Regions from separate parts of the Mus musculus genome. Here all the other regions are reported to be linked to region 1. Evidence: microRNA targets listed by miRTarBase, many of them from high-throughput screens and not tested one by one. Region 1 holds a microRNA gene; each other region holds the end of a gene's coding sequence.
The links. Region 1 holds the annotated microRNA mmu-miR-31-5p (AGGCAAGAUGCUGGCAUAGCUG, at 2,931-2,952, shown strand). A microRNA usually pairs through its seed, bases 2 to 8, with sites in the 3' UTR of a target mRNA and lowers its output. Matches are read on the target gene's strand: a 7mer-m8 pairs with bases 2 to 8, a 7mer-A1 pairs with bases 2 to 7 and ends in A, and an 8mer does both.

Region 2: miRTarBase lists Syn3 as a target of mmu-miR-31-5p. The part of its 3' UTR that is shown has no 7-base or 8-base seed match.
Region 3: miRTarBase lists Fzd4 as a target of mmu-miR-31-5p. Seed matches in the 3' UTR shown: 7mer-A1 at 1,659-1,665.

The regions. Positions count from the first base shown.
Region 1 is chr4:88,909,325-88,913,565 of GRCm38, reverse strand. Mir31 (microRNA 31) reads left to right here and starts at 2,904; the gene lies at 2,904-3,009. Gm49890 (predicted gene, 49890) reads left to right here. Exons shown (of 3, transcript NR_132735.1): 3 at 2,856-3,712.
Region 2 is chr10:86,052,215-86,056,455 of GRCm38, forward strand. Syn3 (synapsin III) reads right to left here. Exons shown (of 14, transcript NM_013722.3): 14 at 1-3,450. The coding sequence ends at 3,318. Among named protein-coding and RNA genes, the nearest start is that of Gm51812, 15 kb to the right of the region's middle.
Region 3 is chr7:89,407,849-89,412,089 of GRCm38, forward strand. Fzd4 (frizzled class receptor 4) reads left to right here. Exons shown (of 2, transcript NM_008055.4): 2 at 1-2,262. The coding sequence ends at 512. Among named protein-coding and RNA genes, the nearest start is that of Fzd4, 5.6 kb to the left of the region's middle.

The sequences.
Region 1 (4,241 bases):
TATCTAAGAAATGGTATTTTTTCCACTATAACCTACAGATACATGTACGCGTGTATAATATCACACAATATCTGTGTGTGTGTGTGTGCATATGCCTTTTTGCAGCCCAGCAGGTGCAAGGCAACACACATCTGACTTCTATCAGTTAGGGAGTAGCTTTAAGCACATCCTGTGAAATTGTCTGTTCCCACAAGTAATCCCAACACATTCAGTAAATGTTCTTCCCCCCCCCCCCCACAGTTATGTTCTTGATTGGACCACAAATTTTTCCATAATGCTGTACTTAAAAACTAGTACATTCTGCTCTTCGTCCATAATCATCTGCAACTCCCCATACCAGCTTTCTTAGGACAACTATTTTAAACATTAAAACTGGAATAAACTATATTCCAGTTCTAGAAAGAGTCACTGTGTGCGGCTCTGCCAGCTTTGTAGTCACCATGGTTGAGTTGGTTCCCTTCCTTATCTCTGCATAGGAAGTACAGCAGTGTAGCTAGCTCTCTCCTGCTCCCATGTGTCCAGGACATGTGAGCACTGTTTCTAGAGTGGCCTCAAGTCAGTGTTTACAAAGGAAAACAGACTGCTAGTTTCAAAGTAAAAATTAGTTTGGATTTTATTTGGATATTCACACTAATAAAGAGACACAAAAGAAAAAATCCTTTTAGGATATGAAAATTATAAATGGACCATGTACCTCAAGGGGTTTTACTGCCAGCAGCTCTTATGATTCAACTTTAACTGCTAAGGGTTTACAATTAGGGATTTGTAATCCATTTTTTTGTCTTGTTTTATTTTCTAGTTGTAACGTAATTATGATTAGGCTTGAAGTTTATGTCACGAGGGGGATATATTACCAGCAGTCACTTGGAATCCTTGACTCATTTAGTATCATAGAAATATTAAAATGAAAAAACAACCCACAATGTGTAACAATGCTAACAACTTTCTTTACAGGGGTAGTGTAATGGTAAGAGTGACTTGTCAACGGACAGAATATATCATCATCTGGCTGATAGGTGATAGGAATGCCTGTGGGATTATCTTGTTTCCGTTAACTGATGTGAGAACATCCCTGCACATAAAGAGGAGAGTTGAGAAACTCTGTATGTTCTGACAATGGACACAGAGTGAGCAGCTGTGTCAGCCTGGACACCCCACCCCACACCCAGCACACTGCCTTGACTCCCTGCCGTGGTGAACTGCCCTTTGAACTGCGAGCTAGCGGAAGCGCTTTCTCCCTTCAGCTATATGAGGTTATTTTATCACAGCAGCAGAAAAGAAACTGAGACGGGGTACAAAACTATCTACTTCTGAACGTTTGAACTATAAATTGAGGCATTTAAAGTAGGGGAACAGGAAGTAGGAGGGAGAGACGAATTACTGTATTGCCCCATCTTTCCCCTAAATGAGCCTCATCAAATAGCCCGTAAGTTCTCCGATAATTCTTGTCTCTGGTAATTACTGTCTCTGGTAAATCAAATAGTCACCCACAGCCATGCTTCTGTGTAACCTGAATCCGAAATTTCCATGTGATACAATGAATCTGAAAAAGGTCACAGGGTGTTTTTAATTGTGTAGCATGTACCTTCTAAAGCGATGTAACCTGTGTTTGCATCTTAATCACAAGCATAACAGGTGAGGAAAATGAAAAAAAAATGAGCTTTTCTCTTTTTTGAGAAACTGCTCCATGAAATCTTCATATTATGCTGTATTTTGTTACTTAATCTATTCATTTGACATTCATATTTGAACCATGTGCTGTTCTGGGTGAACCAAGAACTATTAGATATATTTACAATAATGAGTATCATCTCTTAAATATTCTTACATCAATTAGTATCTTTACACTCTTTTACCTGACTCCAGGCAAGAAAGTGAGGGGCTTGTGCAATAGCTCCTTCATAACCTAGCTGACCAAGAAAAGGTGCTGCACGTAGTTCACGTATTCCACCGCGTGACTATATGTGTCATGCTCAACTTTTGCTTCTAGGAAACACAGTTGATGTTAGCTACATCCAAGTGAGTAAATGCTGTAGCTCTGTTGCACTGTTACTCATTGCTTGTAAGTAATAGTTTTACAGAAACCTAGTAAAGCAGGAAACAAAAGTAATATATAATTCTAGTTACTGTAAAATAATAAAATCACCTAAAATTGTCACTTCTGTACCCTTCATGAAAAATGTTATAAGCATAATCTTGTTAGGTATACATTTTACACAGAAATTATCATATATAATGCCATTATTGTGCCTTAATCTTCTATAAGGACCAGGAAAGAATATTTTATAACTACATCATAATTCATTTAGTTGGTGTCTGTAATATCGATGGACATTCATAATCTTTCTAGCCTTTAACAATTAAGACTAATATTGTAGTGAATATCTTTGAACGAAGAACTTTTTCAGTTGTATTTGTGAAAAATATTCCACTCTGAGAATTCTTGGCTTGAAGAGATTTATGTTTAAGGGCTCATGGAGCAATGACACATCCACACCCCATGAGGTGACAGCTTAATATTATTAAGGGGCATCTAAATGGCCAAGATTAGCCAAGCAGAATATTATGCTATACACAAGACTGTACAGAGGTCACTGCACTCCTATGGACTATGAAAATGGCTGTATTCATCGTTGTCAGTTTATGACTTAATTTTACTTCGGAACCACCTTGTCATTTCACAAGCAGCAAATATTTTGAGATCCATGTTATTCAAGGAATATTTAAAACAGGAACTTAACCACAACCTCCCTGTGCATAACTGCCTTCAAAATTGGACACTCTAAGGACCACTGCATTGTTACATTAGGAAACAGCTTGTGTTTTCAACTAATGGGTGTGTTTTCTCTCCTCAGGTGGAAGGAGAGATTGTGGAAAAGCATAACAACGAAGAGGGATGGTATTGCTCCTGTAACTCGGAACTGGAGAGGAGGCAAGATGCTGGCATAGCTGTTGAACTGAGAACCTGCTATGCCAACATATTGCCATCTTTCCTGTCTGACAGCAGCTTGGCTACCTCCGTCCTGTTCCTCCTTGTCTTGCTACAAGCCATCCATGATATGTAGGGCCCTGTGACTTGGTCTGTCTCGCCCTGACTTCTCTCCAGTCCTATACCGAATCACTCGCTCTGTTCTAGCCACACTGGCCTTTTGGGGATGTTCTTGGCTGCACCAGGAATATTCCCGCCTCTACTGCCCTGTCTTATCTTTTGGGCATCAGTGGAGAACTCTTTCACCATGGCACTGTCTATAAAACCTTACATGTGCCCAGCCACCGTTCACCTCATGACCCTGCTCTGACTTGTCAGAATCATTGGGCACTACCTGTCCATGTTCATTTGCTTAGTTGCTGCTTGATTTACTGTACCAGGTTGTAAGTCCTTTAAGGGACACCCGTCTTCATTTCTGTTCACCATACCCCTAAACCCTGACGTTTGCAAGTCCTCAAGTCATGTCTTTGCGACTCTACCCTGGACTTATTGTGCAACAGAAGTGTCAAATAATGAGATTTTAATCATGCCATGAATGGCTGTGATGAAACACTGGTTTATAAGTAACAAAGAATAAACAAATGCTACTGATTTCTAAGCCTGCAAACCCAACATCTTAAAGGAGCCACAATAAAGTTACCATCAGGTCTACAACTCAGAGAAGACAAAATATTGTATGGAAAAGAGATTATATTCAAAATAAAAGTTACTTTTGCGGTTTCAGCATGGGTGTCACTTCTGTGTTCTTAGTTAAACCATAATTTTCTCTGTTGCAAGATCATACTGACCACACAGGATCCTTGAGGTAAGTTAGTGAGATTAGTCTTAATCATGTCTAAATGCTTTTATCTAGAAAATGTATGATGTGCTCATACTGGTAAAAATGTCATGAGTTTTAATTATTTTACTGCCTGGAAGTTTCTTTACTTAGAAGCGGGTGATCTTAAGTGGAAATTCCAGACCTATAGAGCATGTAGCATTCTACATGAAGACACAGAAGTGTTGAAACCAGCTAATTATCATGGGTCTCAAATGTGTCCTCTGGTTCCTTCCCACCCCTACCTTCCTTTTTCTGGGGTTATTTGTTGTCTACCAACCTGTGGGTTTCATGCATCCACTACATCATTATAATAAGAATGCTTGACTATCTGATATTCATATTGTAAAGCTTTACAGTTTTAGTAAGAAGTTTTGTTCCTAATACACTAAATTTTATATTCACTTGATGCTTCTTCACAGAGGAAAATAACTG
Region 2 (4,241 bases), not on the chromosome of region 1:
ATTGCTGAGATATTTTAAAGGGCAGACTATGAGAGTATTTTGGCCACATGGTCATTTATGGAGCCACTGGTTCTGCCTGTCAAAGGAACGGGTCCTTAGCAAGGCTGGTGATTGACATATATTGCTCCCCACCCGGCTTCAGAATGCAGCCCAGTCTCAGCGGGCTGATCCAGCTGCAGGCTTTGAGCTCTCTAACTACAAGTTCAATGTGCTGTGCTCTGAAGCAAAGTTTTCTGGGCCTTTATAAGTAGTTATGTCCAGGGCCATGGCCTACATTTTGAGAAACTTCCTGCTGTTGGTTTTTACTCCACTGTGTGTCAGGAGCTGTTCTATCATTTAGACAAGGCTGAGAGTGCTGTAGAGTGATGGCTGCCACCGATGTTCCCTGTGTTCTTAAGTCACTCAAAGCGTGCCTCTCACCCTTGTTCAGAATGCAAAGTTCTCCTGTCTACCTGTCCGTCCGTCCATCTGTCTGCCTGCCTGCCTGCCTGTCTGTCAGTGTCTGCCTGCTGGCCTGCCTGTCTCTGTTTTTATCTCTGTGTCTGTCAGTGTGTGTGTGTGTGTGTGTGTGTGTGTGTGTGTGTGTGTGTGTGTGCACGGGAGTACGCTTCAGGAGCAACTTCAGCTGTCATTGTCAGGAGCTTCTGTGCCGCTGGTGTTCTGATTTTCCTCCACACATGCCCCATGAGCAAGGCCTGGCTTCTCAGGATCTGGTGGGGAAGCAGACTGTCACTGAAGCAAATATCAGGAACTAGCAAGAGTTACCGTCCGAGATGAGGTAATGGGGCTTTAGGCTGTTACGTCCTAATGTGCTCATTCAGGTCATTACCCAGGCATTAGCATCCACATCCTCTTCTGTGGAGCTCACTTCACAGACTCTCTTTTGATACTTCAAATCTTACTTCCCACACCACACTCCTTCCTTCTGTCTCCCCTCGCATTCTTCAGAGGCTCTAGAGAAAGGTGCAAGAGCTAAGCGCAGAGGAGGGAGGGAGGGGCAGGAGGAAGAAGCAGTGTTCTGTGGACTCACAGACTGATCTTCTTTCTCCTTTGGTTGACCTACCTAAAGTATGGCTTGGGGGGTGCTGGCCTCCAGACTTCCTCCCTTACCAGGGAGCAGATGTGTCTAGGAGATTGCACTGGCAGTTGTGCCATGTGTCTCACCACGTGCTGGGTCATCCCCATTAGCCTCCAAAAGCATTCTGGAAGCTTTTGCAGCCTCATCCTGCGATAGAAGAGCAGTTGAGTAAAATGAGGGAGATGTGGGCAGGCTGGGTGTGGCCATGCTCGGGGACTGTCCTCCTCACACTGAATTCCTGGAGGTTAGCAATAAAACAGGCTGGGCTTTCTTGGTACTGGGAGGGCCTCTACACCTTAACACCACAGCCTATTTACTGTTGATTCTGGTCAATTTCAATTGGGCCTAAGTCCTGTATGTGCAGCTCCAAATGATGGCCTCAGCAGTCACGGGACCTACATGATCCTACATCACAGCTGCAACTTATCACTCCAAACCAAGGATATGGAAAGGGAGGCCAAGGAGGGCTTCTGAAATAACTCCAGTACGCTTGCTCTCAACACTGACTTGATCAAGAGGGAGAGGGAAGAGGTAAGGAGAGAGAGGATGACCTTGAGGGCTAACCGGATCTCTAGCAGCCAGTGGCAAAGCTACCACTTTTTATACTGAGCTGATCCCTGCTGGAAACCAGCTGGAAGGTGCATTCTGCAGAAATGCAGGGGTCTAAGTGGTCCAAGGCAGGACAGGGTCTTTACCCTTTGTTTCTGCCACTCATGTCTGGGCTGGGAGGACCCAAAAGTGATGGATTGCTTGCTGGGCGTGGTGGTTCATAAATGTAATCTCAGCACTTGGGAGGCTGATAAAGCAGGAGAATCGCTGAGTTTGAGACTTGTGTGGGCTACATAATATATTCTATGCCAGCCTGAGTTGCTGAGTGAGATTGTTTCAAGAAAACAAAGTCCCCAGAAATCATAGTGATGGCCTCTATGCTCCTGGAGACCCAAGGAGGCCTCAGATGATCACCAAGCAATGTGCAGAACTCAAGCATAACCAGACGCTTCTTCAGTTAATAACTCCCCTGCCTCAGACAGTGCAGCGAGGGCACGCCTCGGGAGGCCACAGGGGCTGTATAGAGAGGAACATGGCTCTGTTCTGATGTTCTGGGTCTGTCTGGGGACCAGGAGGCGGCTTCTGGCACCTACAATGTTCCTAGCACCAGGTGCTTGGTGATGTGGTCCTGGGAGGCCATCTGGTGCAGGGGAAAGACCACTGGAAAGGGAATCAGGACCACTTTGCCTAGCTCTGCAGCAAACCATCGTAGTCATCGTGGCTACGCCGACAACAAGGTTGGAGTGGAACTTTTTCTGGAAGAAATTCCAAAAGGCTTCAGTAGCTCCTAAAGAAACCACACACCCTGTTTTTAAAGGATCTCCCACTATAAACTGAGTGACCTACTAACTCCTCTTTCAGAGCAGGTAGGATGCTGAGCCATCACTGTGTCTTCTGATCCTGTGACAGGGAGCCATCCACTTTCTCTGGGTTCCCATCTAGCCTTAAGGATGAAAAAGAACAGATTCTGTGTGAGGTCAGACAGGCACAATCCTCCTGCGTCCCTCTCCCCTGGGAACACAAGCTCTCTCCTCTGGATTCCTGCTGTTGGCTCTGTGGGTTTTCCTCTGTCCTGTTCTGAAAGGTCCCACTTGTTGCATAGGGTCTAGCTTCTTTCTATTGACATCAAGGTCACCATGAGGGCCAGCTGTGATGGGGGCCTTTGTCAGCCTACCCCCAGCAGGGATGGCATTAGTTAGCTTCAGGTGAGTAGTGGGCTCCCAGGCTGGGCTTCCCTATTTCTGTTTGCAAAACCACCATTAAAAAGTATTGCCTCTTGTGTTGCTGAGGTCCGACTATAATGTATGCATTTGATGAAGGTGAGTCAAGGCCTAGAAGAGGGCCTCTGCCCAAAGGCAAGCAAAATACTAATAAGACTGCAAAAACAAGCCACACAGACATCTCACTTGGTACCGGCGACAGGGGAGCAGGCATATGGTGGATGTAGTGATGCCTTGTCTGTCTAGAGGGCCCGTGTTGAGGAACCTAGGGGCTCCCAAGGCTACCATTCAGTCAGACAGCATTGGAATGTCATGGTCAAGGAGGGGGGAATGGCTGTAGATCATCAGTTCCTGCATCTTTAGGAAGCATATTTCCGTTGGGAACCAAGGCTGAGAAGGAGGGAACCAGAGAAAGGCTCCAGTGATCGAGTCTTCTTGCCTGCCTGCCTGTCTTCCAGCCTGGATAGGGGCTAGTCAGAGAAGAGACTGGCGAAGGACTTCCTCAGGTTGCGGATTGTCTCAGCCTTGGCCTCATCTTCACTTGGGGTCCCTCGATGGGAGGTATCTGATGTGCTGAGGCTGTTAGTCAGGGACTGAGATTTGCTGAAACAGAAAGCAAAAAGTTTGGGATGGTCAAGGCTGGAGCTCCCAAGGAAATGAGTCTGGGGCTGGCCCTGAAGCCTGCTGGCTGAGCACGGGGTCATTAAAAGATGGTGAGACCAGAAATCAGGCATTGCAGTGTGAACATGATGCTAGCCTAGAACTTGCAAGGTGCGTAGTATTGCCCTTCTTAGGTACAGAAATTGGGGTTCCTAGGGACAAGTATTTGGCTTAGATAGGCCTTCTAGCAAGAAGCAGGGAGCATGCACTGCTTATAAGCGTCCCTCCATCCCAGGTTGCTCTGTGTTTTGTGGGGCATGTCAGCCACAGTTGGATAGGCCAGACTCCAGTTTTCCCCTCAGATTTCCCAGAATTGGCTGAGAAGTCAGGCAGTTCCTGTTCTAGAGCTCTTGTCTCAGTTGAGGGTCCGTGGCAGTCCAGATCAGAGGTGTCCCTGAGCATGTCTGTGGAGAAGTGCCTTGCTTGTTGATAGATGCAGGAGGGTCCAGCCTCTGTAAGCAGCATCATTCACTGGACAGGTGGTTTTGGGCTGTGTGAGAAAGCTAGCTAAGCATGCGTCAGGGAGCACGTTTGCAAATAGCATTCTTCCATAGTTACTACGTCAAGTTCCTGGTCAAGTTTCTTTCCTGATTTCTCTCAATATGAACTGTGACCTGGAAGCCAAAACAGATCCCCTCCTCCCTACGTCTTTTAGAAAATCGTTTTTAAAAGCTTTTATTTATATTTTATGTGTATGTGTAGTTTGCATGCATGGATCTGTGTGCATCACATTC
Region 3 (4,241 bases), not on the chromosome of region 1:
TGGATGCCGATGAACTGACTGGCTTGTGCTATGTTGGGAACCAAAATCTAGATGCCCTCACTGGCTTTGTGGTGGCTCCTCTCTTTACGTATTTGGTGATTGGAACGCTGTTCATTGCGGCGGGTTTGGTGGCCTTATTCAAAATCCGGTCCAATCTTCAAAAAGACGGGACAAAGACAGACAAGTTGGAAAGGCTAATGGTCAAGATCGGGGTCTTCTCAGTACTGTACACGGTTCCTGCAACCTGTGTGATTGCCTGTTATTTCTATGAAATCTCAAACTGGGCACTCTTTCGATATTCTGCAGATGACTCAAACATGGCAGTTGAAATGTTGAAAATTTTTATGTCTTTGCTCGTGGGCATCACTTCAGGCATGTGGATTTGGTCTGCCAAAACTCTTCACACGTGGCAAAAGTGTTCTAACCGATTGGTGAATTCTGGGAAGGTAAAGAGAGAGAAGAGGGGGAATGGTTGGGTGAAGCCAGGAAAAGGCAACGAGACTGTGGTATAAGACTAGCCGGCTTCCTCGTTCCTCATTGTGAAGGAAGTGATGCAGGGAATCTCAGTTTGAACAAACTTAGAAACACTTCAGCCCACACACACCCACGTCAGCCCACCACCACTCACCCAACTCAGCATCAGAAGACCAATGGCTTCACTGCAGACTTTGGAATGGTCCAAAATGGAAAAGCCAGTTAGAGGTTTTCAAAGCTGTGAAAAATCAAAATGTTGATCACTTTAGCAGGTCACAGCTTGGAGTCCGTGGAGGTCCCGCCTAGATTCCTGAAGCCCAGGGTGATAGTGTTTGCTCCTACTGGGTGGGATTTCAACTGTGAGTTGATAACATGCAAGGAGAAAGATTAATTTTTAAAACCCTTTTAAATTTTAAATAGTAACTAGGTCTTGCAGATAGCAAAGTGATCTATAAACACTGGAAATGCTGGGTTGGGAGACGTGTTGCAGAGTTTTATAGTTTGGCTGGTCTAACATAAACATCTTCTGGCCTACACTGTCTGCTGTTTAGAACTCTGTAGCGCACTCCCAAGAGGTGGTGTCAAAATCCTTCAGTGCCTTTGTCGTAAAACAGAATTGTTTGAGCAAACAAAAGTACTGTACTAACACACGTAAGGTATCCAGTGGATTTCTCTCTCCTGAAATTTCAACATCCCTAATTCTAGGCAGCCCCTGTTTTCTTCACTTTAAACTAATGACTCAAAAAAAAAAAAGGTTATTTTTATAGGATTTTTTTTTTTTGCACTGCAGCATGCCTAATGAGAGGAAAAGGGAAGGTGATTCACTTTCTGACAATCACTTAATTCAGAGAAAAATGAGATTTGCTAAGTTGACTTACCTTACCGACCCTAGAGACCTATTGCATTAAGCAATGTTAAGCAATTGGGACTTAAAATATTTTAGTTTGTGTGATTGCATCTAGGCAGACGCCAGTCTGGAAGAACTGAAATGTTAAATTTCTTGGCAACTTTGCATTCACACAGATTAACTGTGTAATTTGTGTGTGTCAATTACAATTAAAAGCACATTCTTGGACCATGACATAGTATACTCAATTGACTTTAAAACTGTGGTCAACTTGCATTCTTAGTGTGATAGTGCCTTTCCCCCCTGTAGCATAAGAATGTTATCGGAGTTTGGTCTACTTGCCACAATGGAGACTTATTCAGCTTTGCAAAGGCAACTAAGGACAGCAGATCCAAATACGTGGTGCATAATTGTTCCTTAGTAATGGACAAAGGTTCTTATAAGATTTCACTGGAGGCAGTGTGGCCTGGAGTATTTATATGATGCCTAATGAACCTCCAGAATGCTGGCCAGAGGCTGGATTGGTTAGCAGGGGATATGGTGTAGACGGAGTGAAATGAGCTGCAAAGTCTAACAGCACGAGTCTTAATTGCCTTTGCTGGGGTATCCAAAGCCTTTAAAATTTATGCTTTAAGTCCCTCACAAGGGGGGTACCCGCTAGCAACCTATCAAAAGTTGAAGTTCTTTTAAAATTGTGACTGGCCTTTTTCTTAACCTGCCTTAGGCCTTTTAATCACCAGATCTCTGGGACAAAACATTGTACATGTCACAGGTTGCTCTCCTTGTATTTCATGCCTGTCTGCTTCAGCAACTTCAGTTATTTATTGATTCATGCTTTTAGTAAGAGAGCCCTTAATGTTTTGTCCAATCCTACTTTGTGGAGAAACATTTCATGGATTCCAAATCCCAAATAGGCAAATAGGTGTTCAAATTCTGGAAATATAAATTTTAAAAACTGGGTCTCTCTCTCTCTCTCTCTCTCTCTCTCTCTCTCTCTCTCTCTCTCTCTCTCAGTTTGAGCTTTGTTTCTGACTATATTTTCTCCCCACAGCTTTTGTTTTTGCAAGTTCTGTAGATATCTGATATCAAGATGCTATAGGCCTGTCGTGTGTTTGGAAATGAGAGGCTTGGGGCTGGTGAGATAGAGACCTCCGTGGACCTGGGTGGCCCCTGGTGATTTATGCAGCCTGAGTACCTAGACTGGACTAGGGCATAAGGCTCCAGGAGCAGGAGAACTGATCCATGGAAGGGCCAATTTAACTCCTGAATGAGCTGCCTATGAAAGGCGAAATGGACACGCCCTGCACTGCTTACAGACAGTTCCCATAGCTGTCCAGGGCCCTGGAGTGTGCACCCAAGGGCAGATTCTGCCCTTACTCACGCTCTGCTATGGTGTCTTGGGAGTTGTGCAGTGACTCTGGCACAGGAAAGGGATGAAAAGCAAGGCAGTAGTAGCTGACTAGCTTTGCTGTGCAGACTTTGTAATGCACTTCTCTTTGTAATGCTTCAGTGATTGTAGGTCCAAGACTGCAACCTCCAAAGAGAGAGCAGTAGGTGCTGAGCATGTATCAACAATAACCTTGGCAACCACAACCCTTTGGGTGAAACCAGCCACCTGCATTCTGGATCCTAGAGCTAGTGTACTGACAATTTTTCTATCTTCCCAGGCAATTTGCCTTTTTAGGGGAAGTTATGTTTGAGCGAAGGGGCCTGGCAGTTCAGACTGGCTTAATAGTCTTAGCAACAACACAGAGTTGTCTGGTCTTTCCTTTCCTATCTCAGATGGGGGAGAGTGATTCCAGTTTCCAGGAAACGAACTTGACGGCTGAGGAGTCCCTTAGCGATGCCCATTAAGCATCAGTATCACTTCTTCGCATCACTCCCACAAATCTCTTCCTAGGTCTCAGCCTCTCCTATGATGCCTTCTAAATTAATGACAGAAAGCACCAGCTTTGGTTCATGACAATCTCCATATAAACTCCCTAGGAAAACAGAGAGTAGACCCCCAAGGACCTGCTCCAGCATCTACTGTGGCTTTGGAAGTGGCAGGGTCAGGATTTGGGTTGTTCCATGGTACTCCCACAGACATATTTGAGGACAGCAGCATGCTGAGGGGAAAGTGAGGTTTGTTTCCCTTCCTCTGATATCTGGAATAAGTACATGTGATTGGAATTTTCAAGAAAAGTCCTCAAGCTCCAGATATTCTACTAAGCACAACTAAGGACACCTCTGTATAACCTCCTCTTTGACAAACTCCTTGGTCTTGCATCATAAAAGCCGAACCATAGGGCAGAGGAACTGCGTAGTGTAGAAGTGGCCAGAGCCACTGGCTGAGCTACTCAGCTGATCATATCTTTCTTCCTTTATGGTGACCCATTTCCTGGTTGCTGAGATGGCTGCTTAGCTGGCTTGGTGCCCAGAGGCCTGAAACAAGGGACAGGTGACACTGTTTCCTAAGAGTTCCCTTTCTGTCATTCTTTTACTTGTACCCTAACCTTTGTATCCCTAAAGCTAGAACCAGAGACTTATCGTTACCAGGTTCTGATCTGTGGTTCTATTTAACTCTTCCAGCTGTGTACTCAGCCCTGCACGCACAGAATTTAGTGACTTTGGTATTGAGTGCAAAGTTGGGCCATGGGACACTGTGATGAAGTTGACATCTTTAGTCCTCAAAGAACATGCACAATTGAAAGAGGTCTCACCCCTGTGATGTATCTGCTAAGGGTCCCATAGTGGCAGTTAAGAAGGGGAACCAAGAAGGAACAGACTTTGGCAGGGAGTGCTTAATGTGTAAATTCCATCCTGAGACAGAGGGCAATGGAGAGAGTTTCTGTCCCTGCCAGTCATGATGAGCCCCAGGACTTGGACAATGGTCTCTGTCTTCTTATTGTACTTGACTTCACAGTCCCTGTCTGAATTT